Linked DNA regions of Bombyx mori. The protein of the gene in region 1 purifies or fractionates together with the protein of each later gene. This does not show direct contact. Links are inferred from orthologs where the notes say so. Each region holds a gene or a part of one and is shown in the gene's direction. Other genes may lie near its edges.

The links.
Region 2: the proteins of ubiquitin conjugation factor E4 B (region 1) and ubiquitin-like protein 7 purify together in Homo sapiens (affinity purification with mass spectrometry; 3 studies listed by BioGRID and IntAct, counting the BioPlex papers as one, with this or other methods). This does not show direct contact. The link is inferred for Bombyx mori from reciprocal best matches to the Homo sapiens genes UBE4B and UBL7.

What each region holds. Positions count from the first base shown.
Region 1 is NC_085109.1:10,807,547-10,824,513, forward strand, and holds the start of ubiquitin conjugation factor E4 B, read left to right. Parts: upstream 1-5,833; 5' UTR 5,834-6,046; coding exon 6,047-6,070; intron 6,071-6,214; coding exon 6,215-6,850; intron 6,851-6,918; coding exon 6,919-7,057; intron 7,058-7,317; coding exon 7,318-7,877; intron 7,878-10,437; coding exon 10,438-10,683; intron 10,684-11,104; coding exon 11,105-11,351; intron 11,352-15,883; coding exon 15,884-16,057; intron 16,058-16,967. Other genes in the region: TOR1 (target of rapamycin), read right to left, coding at 1-514, 607-1,255. UniProt on the Homo sapiens protein: Ubiquitin-protein ligase that probably functions as an E3 ligase in conjunction with specific E1 and E2 ligases. May also function as an E4 ligase mediating the assembly of polyubiquitin chains on substrates ubiquitinated by another E3 ubiquitin ligase.
Region 2 is NC_085127.1:4,572,743-4,590,213, forward strand, and holds ubiquitin-like protein 7, read left to right. Parts: upstream 1-8,722; 5' UTR 8,723-9,323; coding exon 9,324-9,474; intron 9,475-10,836; coding exon 10,837-11,051; intron 11,052-11,364; coding exon 11,365-11,599; intron 11,600-12,073; coding exon 12,074-12,201; intron 12,202-12,685; coding exon 12,686-12,800; intron 12,801-13,269; coding exon 13,270-13,383; intron 13,384-13,685; coding exon 13,686-13,805; intron 13,806-16,941; coding exon 16,942-16,997; 3' UTR 16,998-17,078; downstream 17,079-17,471. Other genes in the region: protein ENL, read left to right, coding at 1-103; nonsense-mediated mRNA decay factor SMG5, read right to left, coding at 3,616-4,055, 5,026-5,224, 5,307-7,509, 7,910-7,983.

The sequences.
Region 1 (16,967 bases):
TTCTTTCTCAATATTAAAGATAGCATGTTCAATAATTTATCAGTTATATCTTTTTTTAAAGAAGGTAAATTATTGCTTAGTTCTTTAAAGCAAGTTGTTAATTGTGGACTTAAGCCTGTCAAACACATAGAATCTAGCAGCTCTCTAACTTCATTTGCTACATTCTCTTTCATGGCAAATCCTAGTAATGTAACACAATGAAATAATGGTGTTTCAGATCCGTTACGTTTTTTCTGTGTTTCTTTGATTGGCAGGGTTAATTTGATAATATCAATAATTCTTGAGAGATACTGTTGTACATCTGATTCCATAGCTACACAAACCAAGCCAAGTGTGGTGAAAGCCATGGCCTTTTCTTTTTCTCTACCACGTAAGAATGTTATCAAATGATTTATCGTTGACTTCAGATGTCTTTTAGCAAAAGTTTCTTTGTTGAAGGCAGCTAATCGAGGTATTAACAGAAGGAGCATCTGATGCACATTATGAGCTCTTGATATTTGCTGAGCCATTACATCTGTAAAAAATAATTGTTTAGTCTCAATAGATACAATGACACTATAATTTATTTTTCTAAATACAAATTAATTTTTTTTTGCCAGTTCATACCAGCTGAGATTTTTTCACAATTATCTTCAATTAATTTCTTGCAAATACTGGATTCAAATATTAGAGGTTGATTTTTTTCATCTGAATAATGTGACAATGACCATGAACCCTGAATTTTAGGACTGAGAGAAGACATTTCATCATGAGAATCTAAATCAGGGTCTAGCTTTTGCATTAGAGAAGTGTATTTTTTCTCCCATGCTGCATTTGAGCACCTGAGTAATTCATTTAGAATTAATAAAGCTCCATGCACATGGTCATCCCTGTTCAATCCCCTTTCTCTAATAGCATGATCACCAAATGATGTCTCTGCTTCTTCATAACATTGAATATACCAATGAGCTTTGTTACTTTGCTCTGGCTGCTCTCTCTGAGAGGTTACTGCAAAAGCAGCCCTCAAAACTTTTGCTGCAGCTTCTCGTATTTGATCTTTAGGATCTCTAAGTGCTCTCATGATATGATTGAAGAATCCATTTATTTGCTGAAAAAAATATGATGGCATAGATATAGCCAGTTCTCTCAAAATTAAAACAGCCGATAATCGTTTGCCTTCATTTCTTTCTTCAGCTAGCCATTCGAAACATCTTTTTATTTCAGTCTCCACATATTCTCCTCTTTTAATTCCTAATGAGGAAGCTAATCGTCCCATAGTTTTAGCACCCAATTCTAAGAGATTTATGTCTGTAGATGGAAACACATTTCGTAGATAATTTGCATAACGTATTGTCCTTGTTTTGGTGGTCTCTGTATCACCTCCAATAAGACAAACTGAAAAGATATTTTATAACATTTTATTTATTTAAATTAGCACCACCTACTCCAAAATTTCTGTATTTGTTAATAGATTAATTATTTGGAACCATTAAAGACATGTGAATCATGGCCAATAGAAAAATATAACCTCTATCATGTACCTATAGTAAGAATTCCAGCTTTTTTTTCGTTGTTATCGTAACTAGTGGTCATATCGTGTATCTGTTGGTTGAAATCATCTAAAATTTGGGTCAAACTATCCTGAGACATTTCCCGCAGTTCTGTTTTGGCAAAATGTAGCAACTCTCGCACAGCTCGGTGTCTTGTTTCTGAATGTCGAGATTTTAGACCTGATATCAGCTCTAATACTTGATGATTCGTCATATTGTCGCCTTTGTCAGAAATTTTCATTTCAAGGAAAGCCAGATTTGTTTTTTAAAAGACTCAGAACAAACTATTACACTCGCAGTTCATCACCATCACTGCTATAAATTATTATGAATTCAAACCTCTATCAATGTTTCACTCAAATTACTATTAGTCATGATTTCGTTTGTATATTTGTCGACTTAATTGATAGTCAACGATTTTTAAACAAATTATTAAAAGATAAATGTAAACAAATGAAGTTAATAACATTCGGCCATTGACACAGGATTGATAGATTATCTATGGTTCACAAATGTAGGTATTTAAAAAAATCTTCTTGGTAGTTTTCCAATTACAGCACATTATGCGGCATAATGCTCAACGTTGAATGGTCCAACTACAGCAACGCTTCGCACAATCGAGCACTCTCAAAAGTACTGCCTGTCATCAGATATTTTATTAATGGCTCAAATAACTCATCTGTTTCATTATCATATATATTTTCAATAAGTATATCACTTGTTAATGAAATAATTGATTTAAACTCGAAGCACTCGATAAATCATCGTCAACACTATCATCTGGATAAGATGATTCAATTAAAAAGTATATAATTTTCTTATAACTCGTTTATAAAAATTACTCAAAACTTAAAAAAGTGTTAATGAAATAATCAAAATCTAAATTACTTAAAATAACCGTAAATAGTTTTCAACCAATTATTATTGTTTACCACTACATTATTTATACATTAATGAGGTTTGAATATATTTTTTTCAATACTGAACTTAGCGCACTCTGCTGATGCATTTGAAAACTAATTCACGTTCCAATTATGCTTCAGCATAATTCGGCATTGTGTCCCACTGAGTCGCATTATGCTCTGTAATTGGAAAACTACCCTTGCTTCCCTACTTTGAACTATACATAGTTATTATAATTAGATACATTGAAGAATCCGTGTGATATAATTTTTTTTGTGTACTTTTATCTTTTTCTTTTTCGTGTACGACAAAGTTAAATTGATCATCAGCTTCAACTCGGGTCATAGACATTTCATCAAAGCCATTTATGGTTCTTTTATGGCTTTCGAAAATAATAGGGAAAGCAAACAACATAGTATGTGTTTGCTTAAAACACATTAAACATCAAAGCTTAGATGGGTGGACGAGCTCATAGCCCACCTTGTGTTAAGTGGTTACCGGAGCCCATAGACATCTACAACGTAAATGCGCCACCCACCTTGAGATATAAGTTCTAAGGTCTCAAGTATAGTTACAACGGCTGCCCCACCCTTCAAACCGAAACGCATCACTGCTTCATGGCCAAAATAGGCAGGGTGGTGGTTCACGCTGACTCACAAGTGGTCCTACCACCAGTATTCACATGAGGTCCTACCACCAGTAGATGTTAGGGCCAGTGTTAGCAACACTTGCGGTTTGATTTTTACTAGGCTGCACTAAAAGTATCGGGAATGGAATATTTCCACTGTTCCTGTCATATTAAAATCTTTTTAATTGAAAACTCCTTGATTTTAAAAATCGAATACCATTTATTTATTTAAAAAAAGATTCTCGGTCTTGTCACGAGGTTTTGTCAAACTTGTTTAGTCGTTGAGAAAATGGAATTGACTCGAGAAAATTCAAGAGCGATGATATGTTATGACTTTCGAAGTGGTTTAACACAAAAACAGTGTGTTGACCGGATGATTTCTGCATTTGGTGATGAAGCCCCATCCAAAACCACAATTTATCGCTGGTTTGCTGAGTTTCAACGTGGATGTGTCAAGCTCAGTGATGATCCCCGTCAAGGTCGTCCAAAAACTGCAGTCACCCAAGAAAACGTTGATGCTGTGCGTAAGCTGATTGAGGAAGATCGACATGTGACATACCGCGAAATTCAGGCAACTTTAGACATTGGCATGAGTCAAATACAAATAATCTTGCATGAACAATTAGGTGTAAAAAAGTTGTTTTCCCGATGGATACCGCATTCGCCCTGTGAAGAGCAAAAAGCGGCTCGCGTTACTTGGTGCGTCAGAACTCTCGAAAGATTCCACGCAGGATCCTCAAATGCTGTATACAACATTGTATCAGGTGACGAATCCTGGATATACGCGTACGAACCCGAAACAAAAAACCAGTCACGAGTTTGGGTGTTCGAAAATGAGTTAAAGCCAACAAAAATTGTTCGTTCACGGAGTGTTTCAAAAAAATTGTGGCCACGTTTGTCTCCAAAACCGGCCATGTTACGACTATTCCTCTTGAGAGACAAAGAACGGTTAATGCAGAATGGTATGCTAGCATTTGTTTGCCACAGGTCGTTTCTGAACTCCGTAAAGAGAACTGCAACCGCCGCATCATCCTCCATCACGACAATGCGAGTTCTCACACCGCGCACAGAACAAAAGAGTTTTTAGAGCAAGAAAACATAGAATTATTAGACCATCCGCCGTACAGCCCCGACCTAAGCCCTAATGATTTCTATACTTTCCCTAAAATAAAGAATAAATTGCGTGGACAGAGATTTTCATCACCTGAAGAAGCTGTGGACGCCTACAAAACGGCCATTTTGGAGACCCCAACTTCCGAATGGAATGGTTGCTTCAATGATTGGTTCCATCGTATGGAAAAATGTGTCAAATTTCGCGGAGAATACTTCGAAAAGCAATAAATACATTTTTAAATAGTAATGTTGTGTCACTTCGTTAATTCCCGAAATTTTTAGTGCCGCCCTCGTAATAAACGATGTTATTTCTTCACCGTGGAAGTCGATCGTGAACATTTGTTGAGTACGTATTTCATTAGAAAAAGTTGTACCCGCCTGGGACTCGAACACCGGTGCATCGCTCAACACGAATGCAACGGATATCTTATCCTTTAGGCTACGTCGACGTTAAAACAGACAGAAAAAAATTGTGGGGTTTAAATAGTGAGTTTTGAGTTTTAAACAGAATGTCTTCATGAGCTACGGTAACCACTCATCATCAAGTAGGCCGCATGATCGTCTATCTACAAGTACAGTAGAAAAATAGAAGAATACATATAAATAACGATACAGAATAACTATTCATGTTAATTCAAGACTAAATTACAAAAACCCAAAACTTCTTCATTTTAAGTTCAAAGAGTAAACAAAAATCGTTAAATGTAGACTTTTGTCATCATTAGATCAAATTATGGAATGTAATAATAAATTAATGGCCAAAAAATATCGTCAATAAATGGTGTTAAAATATGCTTATTATTGACTAGTATAAGATCATTTATACATTTACTATTATTAGAAAAAAAACCTACCTCTATTGGGACTAATAGGTATATCATTTTGTAAATCGTACTACCCTCAAAAAAGTTTTCTCAAAACAAGCAGAGACACGTAAAGAACTAAAAGAACTAACCAAATCCTGCCCCGAAAATTACCAGTCTCGCTATTGCTCTTTATAAATTCATAGTAACTATTCTTGCCACTTTTTCCCGTTTAAATTGACTTTTAGGCACTGCCTTTTTTATTTCACCTACCTACCTACTTACTTCCATGCAAAAAGTAAGTGACTGACTGGTATCAGTGAAGAGAAGTTGTGAATGTGATTTTTTTTATGAGTCAGGTTATTCTTTCTGGTTACTGTCCGTACGTACCTATTCATGGCAAATAACAGGATTTTGCAGCTCTGCAGGAAAACACTGCAGAGAATTGACTGAATTCATTTACTTAAAGGGAAAAGTTCGGAACAAATCATACGACTTACACATTTTTAAACACATTAATTTATTATTTTAAATTTTAATATTGCAATCACTTACACTACGTTATGCCGCAAAAATCAAATAAATGTTACACATATACAGATTTGCGTTTGTGTAAGAATTAAATATTCTACTCGGATTATTTTGAGCCATTGGCCGAGCAAAGGCTCAGCCCTCCAGGAAGGGTAATGCTAAAAGTAGGTAGGTATGAAAATTATTAAAAAAAACTTTAATTATATAGTACTAGAATGATTTTATTGCTAGGGTAACATTTTTACAGTGGGTGAATGTCATATTTGGTGCTATCTCTTTTTGTTTACGTTGTTTCAAATATCACAAAAAGAGACATACTCTTTATACTAATTCATCTACAAAGATGACGCGTGTATTTTCATTATTAACTTCGTCATTGTCATTGTGCACTGTGCAGCCTCAAACGTCAAACAGCTGAGCGAGGTGACTGACTCGTTGTGTGGCTTGTGCTTCTTTTTCTTAAAAATATTGAAAGAAAAATTAACGTAACAGAATAGGCCGAACAAATTAATAGAAAAATCTACTCTATAATTTTCATCATGAGTGAATTGAGCCAAGAGGAGGTAAGTCAAAATAATTTTTTTAAACGACCGTCTATTACTACGTATGGCCAATCTAATTTCGTAACAAAACAAAGCGTCAATGGTGAACGTCCCAGCAATTGTCATTTACTCACACGTGCTGCAAGATGTCAATATTCGTTACAGATACGAAGAAGACGCCTGGTTCGTCTCGCAGCTCTTAATAGTGCAGGATCAGTGCCTACTTCAGCTAGTCCTCCGGTAACCCCTGGCGCCTCAATTCCTTCTCCTGACCTACACAGTCCACAGCAACCCTTACGATTGTCCCCAGCTCCTTCAACTAGAAGCTCTACAGAACCCACCACTCCTGACACAGCGAATGCAAATCAAGAGCCCAATTACTCAGAAGAAGTCAGGTCAGATCAATCAGATCAAAATAAAATATCAGCAGACGGTTTAATTGTAACAGAAAAAACTGACAACAATATATTGGATGAAATGCCAGACACAAAAATGACAGATCTTACACAAACACGACAGTACAGTAGCTTTGACTCAATGGGTGATGACACATTGATAAGTTGTGGGTCTGTGAGAGTGGGAAGCTTACCGCAAAATACTGTTGCTGGTTCAGAAGGGAGTTCTACAAGGGAAGATAGCACATCAAGATCAATATCTCCACCACAGTTTGTTGAGCCATCACCTGTACGACCAAGACAAACAAATGCTTCACCAAGTTGTTCTCGTCGTTCTTTGTCAATGGAAGTAGATGATGTGTCTGAAAGAAATTCTCAATCTGAAGCTCAGCAAGAACCAATGGAGGTAGCAAAGAACCGAAAATCCAATGTAACTTGTTGTAAAATTGTTTCTAACCTATTGTGTAATTTAAGGTTGAAGATGATTCATCAGCATCTCCGGCACGTAAAATACATAGATCTCGAACTGTCAGTTGCACAGAGTTGACAGAAGAGCAATTACGCACCATTGTATCAAAGATTCTTCAAGTTTCATGGTCAGATGACAGTGCAGGTAAATTAATATATATTAATTAGGAATGAAAGGAAAGTTAATGTTTGGAAATAATCTTTCCTACCTAATTTGGAAACAATCCATAATATTTTGCAATAATAACAAAATTGTTATTTTTTTAAAACAGTTCTTTCAATTTAAAATTCTATGAAATCAAGATATGTTTTTTAAAGGATTCTAGAATAAAACTTGTCACATTTAATTTTTCTGTACTTAATACTTATACTTAATCTTATTAAAGAGAGAATATTTGTATGCAGGTGGGATTTTTGTGCCAACAGTAGCAGCATCGTTACTTGATAATCCAAAACTTTCTCTGACTGAGCTCATATCTGAAGCTTTAATGGATGTCATAATACAAATAGCAGATGGTGGTGATCCATTGAATCAAAAACTTACTGCAATTATTGAGACTTCAAAGAACTTGAATGAGGAGAATGGTGAGGACTCTTTGTCCAATTCAACAAGTGTAGAAACAGATGCGGATAAACCTGAATGCCCATCACCAGCCCTACCAATCCAGAAAACGATGCCCACACAAGGCTTAGTTGTTAGTTATTTACTTCAATTCTACAATAATGTAAACTCATATGAAAGAGAACACCCCAAGAAGAGTTCAGAACCACCTTTGAGTGATTTGCTCCAAAGTTTGAGAACTATACTGGTCAATCATTTGGTACTAGTGTTACAAGGAAGGTTCGAATTGGAAAAGTGCAGGAAATCACCATTATTACCTTACATATTGATTGGGAATGCACCAACGGGCCTCATCCCAGAATTACTGCTTGCTACATATCTTGATAAAGAAATATTTGATGAGGTAAGGACCTTTATAATGTAACTTATTTAACAAATATCTTGAATAATGGATAGTCCAGGCTTGCTGCGTTTGTTGTTTCACTGGTTGTTCTCAGTACTGTAATTCTTTTTGGAACCAGTGGTAGAGTTTACAAGTTTTGTTATTCAACAAGTATGTTATGATGACATTTAAATTGAAATATAAATTATTGATTTGAATGTTTACCAACATTTGATATTCAAGATTTCTTGCAATTGAATTAAATTCAACCAATTATTGGATTTGAAATAATGGTATATGTTTGTTTTTATCTAACAAACAACTACATTGATATAAATTGGTTTATATTCATTTATAAATAAACTTAGTTAACCAACCAGTACAGTAAGAACACAAATATGCTGTATTAAACCAAATAAAAAGTTGAAAAAAACTTCTAAATTTGAACCTACTCCAATAAACACATAACTATTGCATTATTAAATTATTATTGATTTGAAATTTGAATTTGAAACAAACATTGTATTTGACAGACAAATTAGCAAAAAGATAACTTATGTTTTATTATTTAATTATGAACTTATGCACATATGTTGGGTAATGTATCTGTTCATTGTGTGTCTGTCTTTATACAACCTGCACTCCGCAATCCTTTTATTAAAAGGACAACAAATATCTTCACTAATACACTACAATAAGTATTCCACTGCTTTTATTAGTATATTGTGGAATTAAATCACATTTTTAACTATCAAATTAACGAAATATACTTGAAATGTCTTAAGATTTGAAACACACCCAAGAGCAAAACTAGTGTTCTTGAAAAATAATATAAATATTTTATTATATTCAGTTCTACGGAAGATATAATTCATTGAGATTCACTGATAAACTTACAAATACAATACAATTTTTACTAGTCAACTTGATGACTCAAAATGGGTGGGGTCATGCTGTGATACCTATGGGTTCCGGTAACTATTAAACACCAACTGAGTTATGGGTTCAGTTGCTCATTAATGCAATAAGAAGTGGTTTCTACCCTCGCAATGCGTCCTATGAGCAGTAATTACGAAAATTAAATACTTGCGGATCCGGTCTTTATTACCACATTATTCTTGGATCATGCAAGACCGTCCTGAACATATGTTGCTAAGCATATTGTATTTGATTAGCAAAAATGGGACCTGCGTGCAGGTTTTGAAAACGAACATAGTACCATCCATAGTACCATTTTACTGGTGGTAAGACCTCTTGTGAGTCCGCACGGGTAGGTACCACCGCCCTGCCTATTTCTGCCGTAAAGCAATAATGCGTTTCGGCTTGAAGGGCGGGGCAGCCGCTGTGACTATACTTGAGACCTCAGAGCTTATATCTCAAGGTGGGCGGCGCATTTACGTTGTAGATGTCTATGGGCTTCAGAAACCATTTAACACCAGGTGGGCTGTAAGCTCGTCCAGCCATCTAAGCAATAAAAATAAACACCACGCAATATATGAGGACGTCTCGTCCTTTAACACCCTAGGCCGTGATGACTGCTAATTTTTTTTATTGTGGGCAAATGAGCTTAAAGCCCATGTAGTGGTGAGTAGTCACCGAAGCTGATGGACGTCAGCAAAGCAGGTACCTGCTGCTTATAGACTTCGATAGTTACAATAAAATCTTGATAATCAAGACAACACAAGATTGCCTCTCTAAGTATACTAGCACAATTATGTTACAGTATAGGATGTATTATTAAATACTGAATTGTAATATTAATAAATCTGTAGTTATTATCTTTAGAATAATTTTATTTCTTTTAAGGACATGAATGGAACTCGTTCTGACAGAATAGGTGTTAGCATTCTGCCTTCTTGTGCTGCAAAACAACCTTGTGCTCGATTCTATCTATAGTATCGCCTGTATAATAGTAGTTATCACGTTTTGCCAATAAGACCCTAGTTAATGGCTCAAGGTGGGCACCGGTATCCGCGTTGTGGTTTTTAAAGGCTCTAAGTAACACTAATTTTTATAGGCCTATCTGTCTGCCCATCCAAAAATAATCTTGAAACTAGGTCCACGAAACTCTAATGTCACTAATATGTCGTTTTATATGTAAATGTGACAGATATTCTTAAATTGAATATTTACAAGTACCAACAATTAGTAACCAAAATCGTTACATAATTGCAGCTATCATTTAGTGCAGGCCTGGGTAAATGGCGGCTCGCGAACCGGATTCGGTAGAATTTTGTCTGGCCCGTGAAGCATTGTATATATATATATATTATTAAAAACACAGATATTAGTTTTTATCTAACATAAATGCCGGTGGGAATCAAAATTTCAGCGCCTCCTATTCGAAAATATAATTATGATAATTGAACAATTACAGTATGTATAATAGTCGCACAATTTAATTAAAAGTTATAAAAAATTCATCAATTGACATTCTTAGCAAAAACTATACTTAAAATTAGAAAAAACCCTTTGGCCCGAGGTCAAATTTTCATCTGCAATGTGGCCCGACTATCAAAATATTTGCCCATCCCTGAATTTAGTGTAATGAAAAAGCGTAATCTATGATGGGATCGGACAGGTGTTTACTTGGCTGGTGCTTGGAGTTCGTGAAGAGATGCGCAGTGCATTGGGCACGGGCCACGTGTGCGGCGGGGCGGCGTTGCGAGCTCTACACGCGCTGTGCGAGGTGCGGGCGGGGGCTCGTGGCACGCGCCGCCCTGTGTGCGAGCTGCTGGCGCGCCTACCCTCGTTCTGTCCGGACCCAGTCACCTCAGCACCGGGCCGCGAGATCGCACGCGTGAGCTTCCTCGGGCCCTTCTTCTCAGTGAGTTTCATTACCCATTACCCATCATTAGCCTTTTTTTTTTCACATAATCTATACTAATATATAAATCTACAGACTACAGTGGTTTTTACGGATGTTCCGTTATAACTACTGAACCATGCATCCGATTGACTTGAAACTTGGTATACATGTAGAAAATACATGTACTTAATGGATAGGCTAATATTTATATGAGTGTTGGACTCCCTACACCAGTTGCGGGGGCGTTAATGATGAGAATCTTTGTGGGGGTGAGAAATAATAATGTTCATTTTAAATGCCCAGCGAAGCGGACGGATACAGCTAGTTTTTTATTAACATCTTTATTGTATTGCCGAGTTCACAAACATATGAGATGTAGTGTAGGAATAAGAAATAAATAAATAATGAGAAGCTTTTTAAATAAGATTCATAATTCCAGATATCGTTGTTCGCGGAAGAGAACCCCCGTTTGGCAGAGCGTCTGTTCTCTTCGGGAACCGGAGACAGAAGCTTGGCCTTTGCTCTGCAACGGGAAGTGGAAGCCAGTCGCAATACTCTGCACAACATCTGTCATAATATCCTGGTCTGTCCCGAGGCTAGGGAGCCTTTCCTAAACTATTTCGCGGCCATACTGCAGCGAAATGAACGACGCGCACAACTGCAGACTGATGAACGTACGCTCGCTGGTGAGTTAAAAATGATCCCCGTAACGAAATCTATATACATATAAATAAAATTGGAGTGTCGGTTTGTAATATTGAATTAACCGCTTTTTAGTACATGCATATGAATTTATATACAGTTTATACAGTACATACAATTTTTATCTGTCTCTCTGTCTGTTTGTTCCGGCTAATCTCTGGAACGGCTGGATCGATTTTGCCGAGACTTTCACTGATAGCTGATGATATAAGGAGTAACTTAGGCTTATAAATTTTTATAGACTAGCTTCGCCCGGTAGTTATGTAACGATTTATTGAAATTAATTAAATCATATTTATTTTAATCTTCATCGAGCACCTCTTTTATCTGAGGAACAAGTCACACACAGTTATCTAGTAATGTGTGACTTGTCCACAGGGTATTGTTAGCATTATATAAAACCTGAGGTAGTGATTTGACTGTAGCATTACCTACCTCTGTCTTGTAGTAACATTGAAAATAAAAATTGTCGAGCTCAGTTTTATCACCTCTGATAATAGTGGAGCTCGATGAAGATTTAAAAAAAAACTCATGATTTAATTAATTTCAATAAATCGTTACATAACTAATTGCTATTACTAGAGTAGATCCCAAACTAGAATTCCCTGTACTATGAGAGTCAGAGACTGATATGGATACTTATATAAATTAAAATATATACACATCGAAATTAAACACCTAGACTAGAGCAAATAAATTTGTGCATCATATGAAGATTTGCTAAATACGGGAATCGAATATATGATATTTAGGGACGCTAACTCCTGCTCCACAGAGTCGGTCTAAATAACCAAATATGTCTTTTGTTACCCTACTCCTTTTTCCTTGTTTTCTACATTTGTTGGTGTTCATTCCATTGTCTTTTTACGCCAATCTAGTTCTTACGTATTAACCGTTTTAGTGCGTTTTCTAGTAAAGACCACGATAGTGCTTCAAGACACAACAATGTCTTGGAAACATAATAAAAATATCAATTAGCAAAATTACGATTGAATGACTTGTTGAAAATGTTGGATTTCTTTGAAATGCCGCTAACCTCGTCTCTGTCTAATAAACATACGTTTGGCTTCGGTCCAAATTAGAGATGGCGTTAACGGTTGAATTTATTTATCTGTTAACTGGTAATTGATAAAAAAAATTACCGATATTTTTATTGGTTGAAAATACCGGTAAATCTTTTCGTTGAAAAATTAATTTTGCTAATGTTAAACTTGAATGGTACTAGCACTTTTCGAAATGATCCCATATTTCTGCATTGCGTTTCGGCATTTTAAATTAGATATACAATTTAAAAATCCACAACAACAAAGTAAGCAAAGTCTCAAACACACAAAAACAAAGTCAAAACACACAAACACAAAGTACAAATCTCTTAAAATACAAAAACACAACTTTACCAAAATAATAGAAAAGATGCACTGAGCCACCAAAATGTCAAGTACCAAACAAAATATTACGTTTAAAAAATCAACCAATCACGTCATCTTCGCGTTCGGTAAAAATATCGTTTCATTTCAATTTTTTAACGAAAAAAATTATCATTAACTGTAAAATACACCAACTTAAATATTGTGCTTTATTTTGAGGGGTATAGAGCATACAATGAAATCATAAAATTCAATATTTTTTACATGATAAGTTGAAGACATCTGCAAGGCGAAAATGAATCTTACGTGTTGAAATAAAGTTGAAACTTGCATAAATATAATTTCCAATAATTGCCTATGCCACTACACGCAGTGTGTTTGGTAAACGGTATTTTTAACCGTTTTGGGTAATTTTATTTATCGAATAGAAGTGTTAATTTTTTTTACCGGTAAATTTATTGGTTATTGGTTATATTAGCCACCTCTAGTCCAAATAATAAGTTTCCCTACATCGAACCGCTGTAACACTGTAACTGATTCCGTGTAAATATTTATGTTTACGATCGCAAGTGTCTCGGGAAAAGTACTGGCGTGCACAGTAGATCATTCACTACTGTAACTTTCGGCAAACAAAATGCTGATTAGAACATTATGTGCTATTAATTCAACGTCGACTCTGACACAAATAGAATTGTAGTCTTTCAATTAACGAATTCAATATGTAGTTTTACGTAACTAGATAATAATAATACTAGGCGTATCGCGTAACTCCATCCGCGCATTTGTGGATGAAATGAGGACTTATTGTTTTTTTGCACTCGGTACTGATGAAATGTGATTATATACTTTTATTTCAAGATCTTAATACGTAACACGTTTACCAAATTCGTAAAATGTATTTTTTTTAATATTTTTCTATTAAATAGATATTTTTCATCAGAATAGTGTTTTGGCTTGATCCACCTTAACTATAATTATATTAATGTTTTTTGTTTGTAAACATCTTCGATGTAGGTACATACATGCTTGTGGGCGGTTTTAAAATAGTAAACAAATCGAAGGCTATGATTTGAAATTCAAACATAAAATGTATCAAAACCATTCAAACCAGGAGTGCGCTGCATTTTTCGCTCGACATAATATTTTCCCCGTCCACTTCAGCAAGCAACATAAATACAGTGATAAACTTGTGAAATTTCATTCCTTGGAATATGATTTTAATACTGTTTATTATGTATGCACATGAATTTTTCATATGACACTTTACCATTTAAATGCAATATAGACTCTTGTAGTATAGACATACAAAATTTAACACGAACACACCTGTATTTAGATTGTACGATTTCATTATTTGGATTCAATCCAATACCTAGAAAGTGATCGAGGTACATTTTCATTCTTGCCAAATAACTTTGTATTTTTTTCTTTTCTTTTTGTTCTGTCACTTAATATCGTCAATTCTCATTTCTTCGTGTATTTGTGACTATTATCTTACGTCTCAAGGTTGACAGCATCGCCGCGGCCATTCGCCTCTGCCCATCATAACAAAGATTACTGTACTAAAACTTTTGTAACTCTTAGTCAGAATGTATGAGAAAGTTCAAAATTAACATTATGAAAATAGCTGTTTGATTCCGCATTATACGTTATATCACTGTTTTCAACGTTTATAAAGCTATAAGGCAGTTTAGCGCAATCTATATCTATACTAATATTATAAAGTTGAAGAGTTTGTTTGTTTGAACGCGCTAATCTCAGGAACTACTGGTCCGATTTGAAAAATTCATTCAGTGTTAGATAGCTCATTTATTGAGGAAGGCTATAGGCTATATAACATCACGCTAAGACCAATACAAGCGGAGCACTAATAAAGAATGTTTCAAAATCGGGTTTTTTTCCTTTTTAAATAGCTCCATAACATTATATTATTCAAAAATATTTTCACTTTCTACGTAAATGAAGAGGCGGGTAAAATTTAGTGTTATGCCAAAGTAACTATTCCGCGCGGACGAAGTCGCGGGCAAAAGCTATTTCAAAAAAAAATTTTTCGTACCTAATCTGGTAGCCCTAAGGCTATGCCAGCATAGTCGAACGAGTAGGTGAGCTCACGGGGCTCTAACCTGAGGAGAATTTCAATAGGAATATCGCACCGCCTATGTGCAATAAAGGAAAAAAAATTGTTGACATCACGGTCGCTCGAATATTAGGTTTAAATTTTAATTAGCGTTCATGCTACTTAATTGGCGTAAATGGGGCACCGGAGATCACAGTCACCAAAACGTTAATGCCTCCTCTCTGAAGTATCGATACGTGTGGGCAATTCGAATTGCAAAGTAATTCTTCATATTCATTGTTTCATAGTCGAAGTTGTTTTTGATAATTTGTTAGGTTGATTGACTGCGTTGTACAGTACTACAACTACAACTAGTGTTACATCCTTGAATTCAAAATGTATGTAGATAAGTATATCGATAGGAAAATAGAACCCTATCTGACCCAGGCGACGGGACAACGCAAAGTTGCCGTCGTACGAAACGTGTCTTGTCGGATCCACCGGATCCTCTCTCGGTACATTTAGGCCTCTTACGCACAGGTGCCCATCCTCATCGAAATCGTCGATTACGAGGAAAGTTCGACGAGCGAACTAACCCAAAGACAGCCCACTTAATTTTTTCACCGGCTCTCTTCAATGGGTCGCGATTCCGATCCGGTGGTAGATTCAGCGAAGCACTGCTCTTACTAGGGCTAGTGTTAGCAAATTCTCTCAGAATGAGCCCGTAAGCTCAACGGCTGGACCGATTTGGCTAATTTTGGTCTTGAATTATTTGTGGAAGTCCAGAGAAGGTTTAAAGGGTAGATAAATATGATAATGCTCGGAATTAAATAAAAATAACAATTTTGTTTTTCCTCTGATGTGTCCCCCGTCGGACGGATTCCTTTTGTTTGTTTTAAGTTTATTAAACCAAAAGTTTAGGTATTTTATTTATCGATTGAAGCACTACGAAGTCTTCCGGGTCAGCTAGTTAATAATAAAAACTGGAAATATCGTTTTTTTTTCAACAACAAAATAACGCGGCAATGCATTTGACCAGGTATGCCGTGGGCTCGTCCACCCATCTAAGCTATAAAAATAATAAACATTTCAGGCGATGGCTTCATGTTGAACGTGTGTTCGGTGTTACAATTGCTGTCCGTCCGCATTAAGCTGGAGCGCGTGTACCCGCTGTACACTTTCCAACCGGACTCGTGGGCGAACGTCCGCGACGAGACTAGACTGTACTTCACCGCGCAAGAGGCCCAGGACTGGCTCGATGAACTCAGTAAGTTTCACGAGATACCTACATAATTGAAGTGAAAACTTCTTTAGAATCGTTGTGATTTCAAACCGGATGCAACGGAAAAAACGACAGGTAAGAGACACAAATACAAAAATGTGTAGGATGAAGCCAGCAAAGAATGAGACAGAAATATACATACTATTTAATACAGCGCCATCTGTGAGATTTTTTAATAAACATGTCCCTTCGATCGTCTCTGAGTATTTATTAATAAAAATACACTTATGTATGTCGGAGAATCTACAATTATTAACACCATCGTTAGACATCATAGGGGGGAATAGGGTGATCGAGCTAAGAGAAATATTGAGTATACGTTTGTTGTCTTAGGACAATTTAGATGGCGTCTACGCGCCTCCATCGGCTAGGCTCTGTCGTAGCACGAAGTTAGCCGTTTCGAAGATACCGCAATCGTGCTGCCATGTCTCGGAAATCGTACGAGTTTTGTTTAGCTACCAAACTAATGACCGTCTCCGACATATAAATATTAAGTTAGGATATTGTAATTTGCATTAGCCCTGAAATATGCCTAAACAGTTAAACATTGTTTACGTCTATTTACGCATCTTCTCAGCGGGCCGCGATTCCGATCCGGTAAGAGAATTGCATTCGCGAAGCGGCGACTAAAAGAACTTGCATTTAAGATTTGCATCTCTTTACTGGTGGTAGGACCTTGTGAGTCCGCAAGGGTAGGTACCACCACCCCGTCTATTTCTGCCGTGAAGCAATAATTCGTTTCGGTATGAAGAGTGGGGCAGCCGTTGTAACCATACTGAGCTCATTGAACTTATATCTCAAGGTGTGTGGCGCATTTACTTTGTAGATATCTATGGAATCCAGTAACCACTTAACAACTAAAAAGACGAAATAACGCGATTTTCGGTGATTACTT
Region 2 (17,471 bases), on another chromosome or scaffold:
GGAAACGGGACGCTATGAAGTCACCACTCAGACATTTGATTTTGATTTGTGTCTGTTGGATCGATCAACAGTTCAACAGCTCATACAATTAGTAGGCTGCTAATGGAGTGTTACTAAGTTTGAGAATGTTAACTTATAAAAATGAATATCTGTATTAATAATAAATTTAAGCGTTGTAAAAATACTTTATATATAAAAACATTGTAAAAAAATAATGCATTAGAAGAAATCTCAATGAATTACACTGATTGTGTTGAAGGAGCTGCATTTTATGTACATAATAATATATTTAAAATAAAAAATATTGAAAGCTCTTGATGATACACAATGTATTTATATTATATATAACCTTAGACTTTGTGCAATATAGTTAGATTCGTAATATTATAAGACTGTTGAAACATTGTTGAAACAAATGTATATTTTGTACATTTTAATGTATTTTCTCAGTTAATGTAAGAATTGTGAGGCATCTGGACAATGATGGGGGAGGCTACATTTTAATGTTATTATAGAACTTATAGTTAAGTTATGAAGTTTTAGTTAATGCAAATTAGTTTTACATGCAATGAGTTTTTAAGCTTTTAAGGATTCAATTGATATCCATGAAATTTTATTGTATATTATTTTAAGAATACCTAATTTTATACTAATCTAAAGGTTTTCTTAGAATAGATAAGACCACTAACCAGTTCGTTATCTAATAGTGATAAACTATTTAAAAAGTTGCATTTGATTAAATCCACACAAATGTATGTGCTTCGATCAACAATAGTCAGCGAATCCGCGCCACTAACTTTTATCATATAAAATAATCATGTAACGTATAGAATACCGTTTTATTTTTTGTTAAATAACATAGTTTATTTTATAGATTATGTAAGTAAACATTTAAATTTGCTTATAAAGTTTCAGTAAGTACTCATTCTTAGTTCATTGTGTTTTGTTACGTAACTTATTTTATATCCATAGTATTTTGGAAACAAGATTTACAATAAATAATACTTACATCTTACTTTTTTTTGTTGTAATTATTTAAAACTTGCTTTAGTAGGACTAGTAGTATTCTACCAGTCCATGATTATTCCTAAACAGTTGCTGATTTACTATACAAAATTTACATAGTACAGGTGTAAATTTAACAGGGCTTAACATTCAAGATCAATAAATCATAAGTGGAGAACAACCTCAGATCATATTGCAAATATCATAGCAACGATAACTGCTTCAAATCAAGTTATCGGCACATTCGTCTGACTTCGAGTACCATTCATCGTTAATTAAGTAACTAACTATAGGACAACTCTACAAGTGTCACTTCTGCAGTCTTGATAGTATCCTTCCTTTTCCCGGGAAGCTGAATCCCAGAGTATTAGGTAGGTACCTAATACATGTGTTGGGGTTGTAAAGTCGAACACGTCACTGTGAATTTCTCTCTGTCAACGAGCTTGCTGATGTTAGCCTAGACCGAGCCACGTGGGACCCAGGGATAATTACTCCACTATGTCAGAGAGTGGCCTGGCGTTATTCAATTGACACATAATATCATTCTAAGCTTACCGTCTCATATCATACTTACTTAAACATGCCAAAAATTAGGTATCTCCATCTAAATCTCAAAGAAATGTTTTAATGATCATATTGAACCTGGATGCTGTTTTATTTTTAGATCCATTTTTTCCAGTTCCAGGAAGTTCCATTTTTTGACGTTTAACAAATACCTAAATTATAGAACAACTTTATATTGTAATTTAGATTCTGAGCTTGTTTGAATTTTTCAAATTTAACCAAACGACCAATAACTTGCGTATTTATTAAAAGCATTTTGCAATTTGCATTTTATAATCTTTTTTTGCGTACTTAACTAATATTTTTTTAAATGGTTATCGTTGGTTTAGTGATTGAGCGTAATAGAGCTCTTCTCTATTCGAACCGATCTGCTGTAGCAGAGTACGGGACAGGAGAGATTTCACTCTGCTCCCGTAAGTGATTCGCTTTGAAAACAGCGAAACTGCATTTGAAAAGCTATCGAAAGACAACGCTCCCCTAGATTGGGTATCCGTAGATGCGTGAGGTTCCGTGTTAGGTTTCATCATAGTCGGTTACTCTTGGCAGAGCAGTCGTGGTCATGTGGAATCCTTGTTTATTTAGCCGACGACAACTAGAAGTAGGCCTTTTTTTTCCTACGTAAGCTGAGAAACTTGAGAGGCTATTTCAGCGTAATCTTAACTAGTAGGTGAGCTCACTGGGCTTAAACCTGACGACGTTCCTAACACGAACCCTAGCAAGAGCCGTGCTTCGCAGAATCTACCACCGGATCGGAAACGCGACCCACTGAGAAGATCTGGCGAGAAACTCAGTGGGCTGTGTCTGAGGGTTAATTTACTCGCCATGCCCTTCGTCGCAAGCGACGGGTTCGACGAGAACGGTGACCGGTGCTTGAGGTACCTAAAAGCACCGTTAGTGGATCGGGAGGATCCGAAATGACGTGTTTGGGGCGACGTTGACTGCTTTCCATTCTGTCCGCAGGATCGGGAATGTAGTTACCGGCGGCCACGATGAGAGGGTTCTCATGTCGTGCCGCTTTATCGAAGTGGAATGAAGTAGGCCGTCTTGTGGCAGGTAAAGCTTGAAGTGATCGACGCTATCCGGTGTTGTCTCGACAGTAACCAATCGCTTGAATGAATAGACGCTTCATTCAAGCGATTGGTTACTATTGAGCTTGCTTGCTTGAATTTTTTTTTTCTGGTTGGGGCGAACCTCCTACGGGGTCCCCGCATCTAGGGGGCTCGCGGGGTATGTGGGACTTGACGATCAGTGTGCTTAGTGTGAGTTTTTTAGCGTTCTCGATAGCGTAAGAGTTAGCTCATATTTGTATGGAATGGGATCGTTTGCCTACGTTTGCCGCTAGGGGCGCTGTTCCAACTGCATACAAAATTCGGCTAACTTTTACGCTATCGAGAACATTAAAAAACTCGCACTAAGCATACTGCAGATGTGGGTTAATGACAGACTCGACTTCCAACAAAAAAAAATTAACACAGCCTAGCAGGCTGTCAATTGCCTACTGTCCTTTACCCCGTTTATAGAACAGTTTTTACACCAAGCATTAATTTTGGAAATGCTGAAAATGAGGTTGGTTACCACGTTTTGGTAATACATATCGCAACAGGCGAAGTTACTCTCGTACAGAAAATAAAAGGCAATTTTATTTTTCAATGACAACGAATTTATTCTAATGAGAAATTAATTTGAATGGTGTTGTAGCACACAGGCAATGAAACGGTTGAGTAGTTTGTAATCAATGTGAACTAAAAATGATAATTTTCCCAATCGTATGCTATATGAATACATTATGAATTATGAATTTATGGATGGTTATATAATGTTACACCGATATATAAAAATTTATTATTGATACAATACATCAATAGAAAATTTTCCGCGCTACCTTCAATGAAAACATTATTAGTTTTTTTTTTTTTGTATAGTGTATAGTGAGCGTTTTGGACGTGTCCTATCAAAACCTCGCAAGAGCTTTTTGACGTTTTATCGATATCCTCGAAGTCCATTCTTTCCATAGTGATCAAAACCGGTCTCGTGATCGACACGCGTTCACCTCTTTTTACCGTTTTTATGCGATGTCTGTCGCCATTTGCTGTAGAAATCTACGATGTTTTCTACGGAAATGCCGGCCGATTGCGCTGCGCCCATAACACTAAATTCTTTATACTGTTCTTCATCTTCATCAGCATTGCCAACGAGTAGTATAAGGACGGACGAAGACTTCCCTTGTAAAACGTTTTCAGCATCACCGGATCCTTGCGTCTTTTTATCTTCCGCTACGAAATGATTGCAGAACTCTAAAATCTGAATAAAGTTATTAATATGGGCTGGAGCTTTACGGGGATATTTCAAGAGCGGCAGGGGCTTTGACTGGTTCGGACGTTGTGCTCGTAGAAATCTTGAGCCATTTTTTAATTGAAGTTCCAACCAACGGATAGCTTTACGTGCTGTGCTCTGCTCTCGCTTCAAATTGTCCAGTTCTTGTAGCACTGAAATAATGAAGGAAATATATTACACATTGCTTAAGGTTTTCTCTTCTTTCATCTTTCAATCTTCAGTTAATCAGCAGAAGTCATTTTGATCTTACATTTCAAGATAGTGAGCAGCAAACTATTGTATTTATTATTAGCACAAGCAATTACCATCACTATAGCAGCTATATAACATCAGGTGAGTCATAAACTTGAAAAAGACATATCGTCTTTTCGGATTAAAAGTGTACAATTTCCAAAAATATTCGAAATTGAGTTAATATGCGAAAACATTTGGTATCACCAGTATTTTTCTCATAAATACTGTTAAAAGAGCGTAGTTTATTTTAGTTTTTTAGTTTATCTATGTTTTGACTACTACTAAGAAAATTATTAAATAATTTTATCTTACTTTAAAAGACAGATAGTGTAACTGTTAAAAAATAAAATTAAATGTTGCAGATATGATTAATATTAAAAATATCACAAGTTAAGCCCAATACCGTCTTTACCATAAGGGCACACGGGGCCCGTGCCCAGGGCCCCCATTCTCAGGAGGCCCCGAAAGACCGACAATTTCTCTCACACGTTTATTCTCAAAACATTTTTGTCGAGCACATTACACTTTTTTCAGTAGTTAGGAGGTATTTAGAAGGCATATACTATGCCTATAATAGAAGATTTTGCTCAACAGAAATCCCGAAAGAAACCGTTATCGAAATCGTAATCAAAAAACCAGCAGCATTCTAATATCATTAATGACATTATATCATACTGTATTTGATTACGTATAACAAATGGTCATACTCAGTAAAAAAATGTTATTATAATTTGCTTTTTTTACTTTCCAAAAGGGCCTCAAATTCTTGTGTGCCCAAGGGCCCCATCCTAGCTTAAGACGTCCCTGGTTAAGCCTTTAAAACACACCTGTAAAAAATTAGTAAGTTTTGAGATTATACAGTTTTAATGCGAGAAGACGATATCTTACCAACTGTAGGCACCATGAGCACAAAGTTGGTTGTGAGTAGGAGCTGTTTGACACGACGGAGGTGTTTGTTAAGAGCTGCGGTGTCAAGTACGAGTAATGCAGGTGCCGCCGACTGTCCGCTGCGTTCCAACTCGCGTACTTGTGATGTCAACCATAGTCGACCAAGGCGCCGTAGTAATCCACTTTCATTCGATTCAGTCTGAAAAATAAAGCAAAACCACAACTGTTAGTTTAAAAACAAAAACATTGATGTTAATTCTATGGAAATTAAATATACATACATTTTTCTTTGAATGCCATTCTCTACTTCTTTTATGGTTAATTTTGGTATTCAATTTAGGAGGGTGAATGTTTTTTAGATAAAACAATTTCATGGTCCTGTTAAATCTTATTCTGGGTATAATTTTAGCTATCTGGTTCCCAAAATCTATGAAGTTAAGAATCCTTATTACGTTTTCTTCATAAACAGATAATTTATACTTTTCTAAGATGTGCCATTCAGCAGCATCTTTATCAAATTTACAAATGTTTGTTCCCCGTAAATTTATATCTTCAGGTAAGGGTATTGTCTTGTATTCAAGTTTCATTTTCATGACTAAATTTCTAATGTACTTTATTAATTCACAATCTTCTTTAGTCCCCTCATCAGATTTTGTATTGAAATAAAATGTAAAAATATTTAACAAATCTACAACGCATTGAAACAAGGACTCTCCGCTGTCTCCACATGAAAGAATTAAATCTTTTTCAATCAAAATCCAATCCAACAACAGCTTGATACTGGCCATGAAATTGTTTCCTTGTAAAAAAGTTTTCAATTCTATAGTGTTTACTTTGCTGTTTTCCTGAGATTTTGTTGTATTACAATTCAATAAATTTGATGAATTAAGTGAATTTGTTTCTGTAATCTTTGAGGTGATATCATCATTCAATATTTTATTTGGTTCTACTTTTTCATTAATTTGTTCACTACTTTCATCTTTAGTTTCATCGTTAACTTCATCACAATCGCTAGCTTCACTAAGTGATACAGATTGATCAGAGGAATCTGACAAGTCGCTGTATGAATGTTCAATTTCATCTAAATCACTGCTTTCAGTATTAGCATCACTCACGTCAGAACTTTCTGAAGAGGCAATGCGTCGACGGCGACGACGTTTCATAAGTGCTTTCTTTGCATGCTTAGCATGACCATTTAGATTGTTTTCTTTTACATTATTTTGTTTCTGCTCCTCCAATTCTTGTTCTGCATTCTGGCCATTGTTCACTGTGCTTTCTATAATTTCTTTATTTTCATCATTATTGTTCTCATATTTTTCTGTTTGTTCATTGTGTGGTTTTGAAGATCCATAATTATGAATCTGCCTAGGATTTACAAAACCAATTGAATCCAATTGCTTAAGCAATTTCAACAAAAGTTGAGACAAAAGAGCAAGAGTGAAAGCTTTGCATGCAAAGGCTTTTGTTTCATCAATTTCTGTCATTTTTGAGACTGTGAATAAACAAATCAGAACCATACGATGTATTAGATTTGGATTTAAATAAGATGGAAAATTGGTTTCATGTTCCAAAATTGATAGATAATCATCATAATTTTTATCAATATCAGGAAGTGTGGCTTCATTAAACTCCATACAAATCTTTAGCTGCTGTGCGATTTTGCTGCAGCGCTGAGGAATATCAGAATCAGATTTGTTCAAGTACCATATCTCAATTAATGAAAGAAAATTCACAATTGTATTTTGTATATGTTCAACCTGAGTTAAAGTATCTGATTCATTTATTGTATGGTAAAACTGATCATTTTTCTCAAATATTTTTGTAAGATTACCCATGGCCCCTTCAAATGGATTTTTAGAATTAAGACAGTGAATATAAAAACATACAGAATCCAAGTTGTAATTTTTTTCAAGATAAAGGTTTCCTAATTGATTATAAGGCATTCCCAATGTAAAGTCAGTATGAGCAGCTTGTAAGTAGTATCGAGCAGCAATTGTTGGTTCAAAGTGATTTGATATTTCCACTGCATAACGACTTAAATCCCCTAAATATATCAAACATGAGTGCAAAGCAGATTTTCCAAAATTTGATAGTTCAACATTACCAGAAGATAGTTGCAACTCATCTTCTTCAGTATTGGGCATATAATCTAACTCCTTGAAATCTACTTTCATTTCATAATGAATTCTATCTAAGAAATGGTGAAAATTACCAATTCCACATTGGATGAGGGTGAACAGGAAATGGTCATGCTCACTATCAGTTCTCAACTTTTTGGCAGTAGATATAGTGTCATAATATACTTTTCTCCATAGTAGTTCAAGTGCTTTCTTGCCGTAATTAATTGGATCTAGAAACAGTAACTTCTCACAATTGTCCCTCAGCTTTTGTCTCTGGACTTCAATGTTAGTAGTAAAGAGGTCTGCCACAAATTTACTTGTAGTCGACATGTCATTGATACGTCTTGCTACATCACTTAAATAGCTGAAATTAGAATATTTTTAATTGATACTGGTACGGCCTGTGCTTAATATTATTTAAATTAAAACGTAGAGTGTATGTTCGATACTTTATTGGCTGAATGATCATTAAATCTGGTAATCTGAATAACACTTTATTGTGAGACTGTGATTATATAAATAAATAAAAACTTGAACTACAATATTCGATATGACGTAATATCAACAATAATAACATTAATTCACATACTTAAATGTTGAGGAATAATACAATCAAGTACTCTTTAGCATAGCTACGTAATTGTTTAGACATATTCTAGTTTAATTTTCTATAGGAGCGTATGTTAGAATTCATTTAATGTAACTACGTTGTAAATCATTAACTTATTCTCAATAAGTTTATGTGTAAGAACATTTTTGCTTACCGATAAAGTTTCTTGGCACGTTCATTGCGCTCCGCAATTTTGGCCTCTGATAAATCGAGACATCCGTTCTTCATTTTCAAGTCATTTTATCGTCTGACCAAAATGTTGATTTAAAAAAGAAAGTTCCTTTAACTTCAATGTGTTACTTTATTAAATATGCCAACGAAAAACATTTCGTTATTATCATTTTCCCAATGAACTATATAGGTCTATGCATTTTCCTTGCATGGACATATCCGTCATTTTCATTACAGAATATATTTTACACAGGATATACAAAATATCTCTCAAATATTTAGTGTATTATCTATGCAAAATAACTACTATCTGATCTTTAAGGACTTTTTGGCGGGAACGCGAGGAGTGAAGTTGTGTGATTTGTTTTATTTTGTCTATTTAGTGTTTTTTCAGGTTTAAATGTGTAATAATGGTGGTTTATTAACTGTTTAATAACTGCGAAAGTGTACAAATGTGGGAAAATGAAACAAAGCCGCTGGACGTCACTTCTCGGGATCCTCCAAAAAGTCCAATGAAAAAGTCTCAGTAGATGACCACCATTTTACTGAAATTATATTTCATCCCATTTCATTTCATTTAATTTCATCCCAGTTGATTAATGTCTCAAATTAATCATCATTTCATTTCACTCCATAATATCATTTTTCTTAAAAATATGAATATAAATTAAAATAAGACATGACCTAAAGGTCTTAGTTACGAGGTCATAAAATCCATTAAAAAAAAATCTGACCTTTAAGACTTTTTGGCGGGAACGCGGGGAGTGAAGTTGTGTGATTTGTTTTATTTTGTCTAGAGAGAGAGAGAGAGAATTCTTTATTGTACACCAAAAAACTAATAAACAGTGCGATACATTAAACATAAAAAAGTACAGTTGGCTAGTTAGTGTTTCTTCAGATTTAAATGTGTAATAATTGTGGTTTATTAACTATTTAGTATCTGCGAAAGTGCACAAATGTGGGAAAATGAAACAAAGCCACTGAACGTAACTTCTCGGGATCTTCCAAAAAGTCCACTGAAAAAGTCACAGTTAATGACTACCATTTTACTGAAATTATACTTCATCCCATATCATCTCATCTCATGTCATTTCGTTTCGTTTTCATTTCACTTCATGCCATGTTTCATAATAATGAACTTTCTTTTCATTTCATAATATCATTTTCATATAAAAAAGTTACGTATCATTAAAATTAAAATAAGGCTTGACCTAAAGGTCTTAGCTACCAGGTCATAAAATCACTTAAAAAAAATAATAATGATAATACATACCTGTCACTTATGTGAAAATTGTGAAAAATAATGCTTTCTGCAAGTCACTAAAATAATTTTTTTTAGAATTTATTGCTTCTTTAATTATCTATAGGGTCATATTAAAAGGCAATCTCAACAAGAAATGGATAACCAGCCATGCATATTTTTGGGTATAAAAGTGAAACCTGGACCAATAGAACGTCACAAACTAGAGAATTTTGGACTCGAGAATACAGTAGATTCTCTTAGAACTGAGGCTGAAAAGCGATCCAACGTACCATCATCGTCATTAGGTACGTTCTTGTATAAATCGTAATATGTATTAAAAGCCTCGAAAAAATTGAATTAGACAAAGAATCACAATAGAGTGGATATACAACACTACATATCTAGATTTTCAATATTTCCATTTTCATGGCTTCGACTGATACGGATTAAACTATCAAATAAACAAAAAATTGGGTACTTACGTATTAACGCCACCGCGGCAAAAATGTTATGGTTAGCAAGTGTGGACAACTCGAAAAATATGGAAAAGCGAATCAGAGTACCCCACTTTCCACCTGGTCTTGTCTGTCCTACCCCTAGAGTGTATTTAAAAAACCGGAGGCGCGGAGGGAGAGCAGTCCTCGCCCGCTGTGACGGAGCATGAGTGACCGTGCTTCGGCACGCAAAGGCGGAAGGGCTGCTCTTCCCGCAGCGCCGGAGATAAGGCGGATTCAAACTAAAGCTCCATTTGAGTTTGACTAAATAATGCAATTTTAATAAATAAAAAAAAACCGTGGATGTCTTCATAACCATGGGGTTCCGCGGGGTGGGAATGGTGCAGGGAGTAAACCCTTACCCCCTCCCTCCCCCCACCCCCACCCTGACCCAAAATCGACAGACCATAAAGGAAAGTTTAACGGATTTTTGCAGCAGTGGCGCTAATACGTAAGTACCAAAAGTTGAAATGTAAAATTTGTTTTTTAAATGTGTATGACTAATGAGAAGTATAATTTTATCTACAAAGCAGATGTTTGTCGAATAATAAATAGAATAATTTATATTTGTGTTTCATGTAAAAATATATTATTTGTTTTTACATGAAATTATTGTTCCTTTTTGTTTTTATTGGTTCGTTGCTTGCCCTAAAATTAGCCTTTTTTTAGCTCTTCATTTTTTATTCTCTTTGCTTCGAGACAATATTTTTATCAACAATTCAATCTAGTTCATATTGTAGGGGAATGATACCCCGCCCCGCTTAGCTTACTATGTAGTTATTGTGTATATAGTAATGAGCAGCATACGTTAGTCAGTCAGTGGTCAACGTGCAGCGATCCACCGCTGTCACTGACGCGAATAAACATGTAATCATATTCAGTGTTTTATAGACCACTCTGATGAGGTTTATGGAGGACAACATGCAATAAACAACCAACGCACACACCTCCTCCTCCGTCTTCCCCCTATAAACCTTACAATATTATACACTCATCACCACTTGTGTGTCTCAAATTATTGTAATAGTGCAGGCAGCATTTCAGTACAGTATGGCTATAATATTTAAGTACACCCCCAATTAATATTCCTGTAATAAATAAGTCAAAATGTTCAGAAACAATCTTTACAGTCACTAATTATCTTGATGTAAAACATTTTTTTAATACCAACAGAATTAATTCACCACGGAAAAATCTTAAAAGACAAGGCAACACTTCAAGAATGTGGAGTCAAGTCTGGTGAAATGGTGCATGTTGTGAAAAAGAAGACTACCACTGCCAGTGCAGCACCTCCAACTTACACTGATGCTGAGCTGCAGCAGTTAAATGCATCACTGAGAACTCTTGGATGTACACCAAATGCACCAGGTTGGACTAGAGCTATGCAGGTCATTACACCATTTATATTGTCATTTTGTATTTATTTAAATGAGTGGAGAAGCTATCAGCTCACCTGGATTTCGCACCGTAGTTTCGGGAGACTGTGCCACAACATGACCTGTTGCCTCCTGCTTTGATTTATAAGGTTAAAGTGTCAACTGTAATTTGAAATGGCTGTCACTGGGAAATGGCATGGAATACTCTGTTTGTTGTTCTATGCTGTACTTTGGTTGAATTATCCACGAATTGAATTTCCAGGTTGCTTATCACTATATTTAAATGTAAAAAAGATTATTTTTAAATAAAGTCCTATATTTGCAGCTCTTAAATGATGACTCTGTTATGGCTGAGATCATAGAACAGGCCCCATCACTAGGAGAGGATTGTGTAGCTCTTTCAATATTGCACGAGGTTGAGTTATTGGCAGCTCTGGGTGCCAATCTACAAACAATGAGGCGGGGTGCCACAGCCCATCCAGAATTGCCCATAGCATTGAGACACCTCACAAATCTTGTTAGATCACGCTCTTCAACCGGATCTACTCCTGGTGATACTGGTAAGATTATTTAGGGACCAAACAAAACTGCACATCAGCTCCAACATATGAATAGAATATATTCTTTAAATATGATTATCTTCTAATATATAATAGACAAATGAAGTAAATCAACTTATTTATATTATCTATCTAAACAAATAGAAATGAATGTATATGCATCTTTGTCCTCTATCCACTGTCAAACTGCCTAACAAATGGCCTTGGTTGCTGATTGATGTTGGTACCTTTAGAGATGTTTTGAGGTACTGTCACTGGCATGCTGTAGAGGTAGTAGTTTCAAGAAAACAATGTCTTTTTATATAATCAATTTTATTAAAAGAGTGGTACATCATGTTTCAGTAGTCTAGAATATGTACTTACTTTCATTTTGTTATTAGATCTTTTGCCAGATATAATAGGACTACAATATTAACATTTCTTGTCTTGATACACCAATCCATCACAGATAACACTGTTAACTTACACTTTCAGCACCCACATCTGGATTTGCATATTCATTGGAGGCTTTGTCTGAAGATGAAGATGGTGAAGATGAGGAGACTGATGAAAATGGTGAAAGAAACCAAATAACTCAAGAACAGTTAGCAGCAGCATTGCAGGTGAGAGACTGTGAGACAAGACTTATAGGTCCCTTAAGAACATTAATTATATTTCTCTGTCATCAATGCACCGCTTTGCCTCATTACTTTCTATGACAAGAGAGAGCTTTCTATTTTTCCCTACCTGTAATGTAATAGCGCATGATGTTAGATCTTGATGTGTTACAACACTCTGATAATGAAATATAAAGGGCTGCATCTTTTCTTTTAAATTTTGTGACATAATCAATTCCTCCAAATTGTCAGAGGGCTTTCGTGATTAATTACTAACAGTCGAATGGCAGTTCATCACTTTGAGCTTCTTGAGGATTTAAATATCGGGGGATTCACGAAATTCCTAATAAGGGCGTGTAAATATTATTTTACTCACATAAACATGAACAAGCATTATTTATCTAATGTGATTCATATTTAAGTGGCAAGATCTTGGAGGAATTAAGTAACTTTTATTAAGTAATAGTATGTAAGTTACGGATTGTGGCAGGCGGCCACGGAAGCCGTGTCGACTCCGCGGAGCGGCGGCGGCAGTCACGAGAGCCTGCTGCGGTTGCTGCACGCCGGCGACTCCTCCCGACCGCACTCCTCCACGCAGACCTCAGGTACACACTTTTGAATACTATTCATAGTGGATTGAGCGAACCAGTTCTGATTTAATTGTTATTTTAATAAGTCTCATTATCCCCTAAAATAATTTCTCAATGTTGACAATTCATTTTGGTATTTAAATTATTCAGAAGTTTGTCTTAAATAATGAGTATGATGGCAAATAAGAATAAGAAAGCCAGCTGTGTTCCTTCTTCCATGTGTTCTTTGAATTGGTGGTAGAGTTCATTTTGACTTTCAACAAGAATGCTGAAATAACACTTATGTTATTATTATTATTATTTATTACATTTACTTTGTAGATGTCTATGGGCTCCAAGAACCACTTAACACCAGGCGGGCTGTGAGCTCGTCCGCCCATCTAAGCAATAAAAAAATTAAATAAAAATAAAACACCCGAATTCAAAATGATCTTTTATTATTTTCATACATATTTAACACTTGTAATACTAATATCACTTACAGGCCCCAGTCGCTCGGTTATCACTCCGGAAATGTTCAGTGAAGCTATTTCAGAAGCTATAAACAGATCCAGCAATAGACAAAGTGATGGAACACCTATGGAACAAAGTACTGCAGGTATTCATTCAGCATTCTAGTTTTGTTTAATAGTATCAGTTGAATATTCGGCTACTGTAGTCAGAGTATCAACGGTATAAATTTTTGTTGAATTTTAAATTCAAATTTATTTGAATTGATAAAATTGCTTAAGCGTGACATGGTCTCATGTAGCTACCAGACAGACTCATGGAAATAATGCAAATACCATAACCACATTTTGTTGACATTTTTGTTCTATTACTGACTTGGACAATAACGATTCTAGTTATGGTACATTTGTTAAATGTAATACAACGTTCAAATTATAATTTTAATTGTAGCATCTTCATCTCAAAGTCCCGGAGGAAGGGAAGATAATTTTACAACACAATTGAACCATATGCATGAAATGGGTCTACTGGACGACGCCCTAAATGTTCGCGCCCTACTAATATGCTCCGGTAAATATGTTGCATGAACTGTCTCTGCTGAGTTAATTTTTTTTATTGCTCTTGTAAGCATACGAGCATATGGCCCACCTGATTGTGAGTGGTTACCTTCGCCCATGGACTTCAGCAATGCCAGGGGCAGAGCCAAGCCGCTGCCTACCGCCAATTATGACCTTCAAAGGTTGTCGAGCTCTTGGGCCAACCATGGGTGATCAGCCTCATTCACTGACCTTTCAATTACAAATATTAATTGAGGATAATATACAATGTAAAAGGGGCACTTATTTTTGAAACCGCAACGTCAATATAAGACAATACTGCCATAATTGAAACAGAAACCGGGTAATGAAAATCACCCCAGAATTCTCTATCGTAGTATTCGTTTCTCAGGCAGGTTTCTTGGCAGTGAACGCGCAAACTTGTGTCTTTAACGGGTTGAATTGAACCAAGTTCAATTCACCCCATTTGGAGACTCGCCCCAGAGAGTTCTCCACTTCAGACACAAGTTTTGATCGTCTCTCTTGCACCACGCTCCGAGAGAGACTCTGATGGCCGATATATCGCGCATCCCCCGTGCTGTCATCCGCATAGCAATGCATGCCATCAATAGACAGCATGTCATTGATATACAGGATGAAAAGCGTGGGGGAGAGCACCGAACCTTGTGGAACGCCAGCGTTAATGGTCATGGTATCAGAGCAGTCACCGGCTACAACGACCGTGATGCTCCGCCCATCCAAAAAGCTAGCGATCCACTTGCAGAGACCCTCGGGGATTCCGTAAGATGGTAGCTTCGACAGAAGTGCCATATGCCAGACCCTGTCCAAGGCCTTCGCGATATCAAGGCTCACAGCAAGAGCCTCGCCCTTGCTTTCCAAGGCTTCAGCCCACCTGTGAGTAAGGTATACAAGAAGATCGCCAGCTGAGCGACCGTGACGGAAGCCGTACTGTCGATTACTGATCAGCTGGCGATCCTCAAGATTCTTCAGGAGTTGTATATTTATAATTCGCTCCATCACCTTGGAAAGCAAGGAAGTTATCGCCATAGGCCTATAGCTCGATGGGTCCGACCGGTCACCCTTCTTGGGGATAGGGTGGACGTGGGCGGTCTTCCATGAAGACGGAACCCTGTTAACGCAATAAGAAAGACGATACAAACGCGTTAGCGCAGGCGTCAGCTCAGGGCCTCATCATGCCGGGACTGCTTCTCATTTATACAGGGTCTTGCAGTGCCATCGGTAGGAACTTTAGCTGATCTTAATATTTTGTCTTCGAAGTTTATTAGACACTGGTAAATGACGAGGGCAAATCAAATGAATCAATTGCAACTTTAAGCTTTCCAATGATATATGTATTACAGAACATAGCATCATTCACATCTGCATTTAGTTTTCCATGTACATTATCAAATGCGAATTACTATGAGTGACCACTTTTATAGTTCACAATGTAATTTATTCACGTCCACGTCGCTTCGACCCTTCGAGTGTAAGGGCACTCACGACAGCGGGGCACGTGTGCAGGCAACCCCCTTTCTGCTTATCTTAACATGAAGCTGCTTGCAACAGCGTACATCTTGAAGACAATTTAAAATTATAATCGCTGAAGTTTTCAAAAAGGCAGTCTTTTCTTAATAGCATCACACACACATTCATACTTTCATGAATTAATTAATCATGCGATATTTTCCTAAATTAATTCAATTTTTTAGTCGATTGTAGGTTTCTGTAATCGACAACCTATTACGGCATATCTAATAGGTTGAGGAAAAAGTTTCTTCGCATTTTTTAAGAAAATTCACAACATTTTTTAATATACATAGTTTATTTACATTTAACTAAAGTATGTAGGTACCATTTTGTTCGAAAACTTTTGGCCATCTTGTAGGTAGGGACATAATCTCATTGCTATAGAAATTTTGGGACTTTGATCAAAATAACGCGACAATTGGTTTTGGTAGTTCTCTCGTGATGTTAACCTGACACTGCCTAATGAATTCTGAAAAGACCGAAATAGGTGGAAATCTGAAGGTGCAAGGTCAGGACTATACGGCGGATGCATTAACACCTCCCAGCCAAGCTCTCTTAATTTTTGCTGAGTGGCTAAAGATGTGTGAGGTCTAGCGTTATCATGATGAAAAACCACATCCCTTCTGTTGATTAATTTCGGCCACTTCTCTCAACTTCTTGCTTTAATCTCATCAGTTGTTCGCAGTAGAGTTCTTGCCTGGTGGTAACAGCTCATAATGAATAATGCCCCTCCAATCCCACCACACACACAGCACCTTGTTGCGAGTTAACCCGGGTTTCGCCACAGTCTCTGAAGCCTGATCGGCCTTTGACCACGACCTTTTTCGCACGTTCTTGTCGTACGTGATCCACTTTTCATCACCAGTTAACAGCTTCTTCTAAAATGGTTCGGTTTCATTACGTCGTAATAAAGAATCACAAATGAGTATACGGTTCATTAGGTTTCGTTCAGTGAGCTCGTGAGGTAGGAGGAGGTTTTTTGGGTACCCAGTTTTTTTCAAATGCGCCAAAACTAGTTTTGTGATCAATTCCCAATTTTTCAGCTACATCGTAACTACCGATATGCCGATCTTACTCCGCTTTTTCAAAATGGCATCCATTTTATCCGTAATAGGGCGACCAGAGCGACGTGCATCTTTGACATCAAAATTTCCGGATTGAAAACGCTTAAACCAAATTTGTGCTACTCTCACAGACACTGCACTAGGTCCATAAGCATCGCAAATTTTTTTCGCGGCTTGCGTTGCATCCTTACCTTTATTGTAGTAAAATTTTAAAATGTATCTAATTTCTTCATTAGGTTCACTCATCTTGACAGTACGAAAAATAAATAAAAATCACATATTTTTTCTAATTTGAATTTAGAATTATCTTCTTTTAAAATTTATGATACCAAAACCAGCCAGATACAAACAGTATATCCAAAGAGATTTTATTACAAGTTCATACATACTATAACGCGAAAAGACTTTTTCCCTAACCTATTATTTCTACATGTAACTATTTCATTTAGGCCCAAAATTTCCAGTCCCGTTTTGGGGTTTTGCCCGTTGCCATGAGATTCTAATAACTTTGAAATATACCCTATATATTCGAAACTTGCAATAATTTGATTTCAGGTGACGTGAATGCAGCTATTAATTTAGTTTTTAGTGGCGCCATCGGAGATGAATAATCTTCAAGGGAAACAATTGTTCTGAAATATCTACATAATTAAACATATATTGTTCTGGAAAGATAAACATTAATGAATTGATTTTGTATTATTGTAACTATTACCTTATTATTAACCTTCATACATACATTTTTACAAAATAACTAGCTGACCCGGCAAACGTTTTGTTGCCTTAAATAAGATTTCTAGGGAAATTCTAATGTAGAAAAAAAAACCTCATTCAACCACATAATACCTCATTGTAACAAAAAAAAATTATCTAAAAATAAATGTTTGGGGTGGAAAAACCCTTATCACTTAGGGGTATGAAAAATAGATAGTAGCCGATTCTCAGACCTACTGAACATACTATTGATACACAAATAAAACCAAAAAACATGGCTGAAAAATGTATAGTGAGTAAGACAGGAGACCGGCTTCATCCTCACCCCTACTACGTGATGTTTGCTGGATGAGTGGTGACACCTGGCGGGG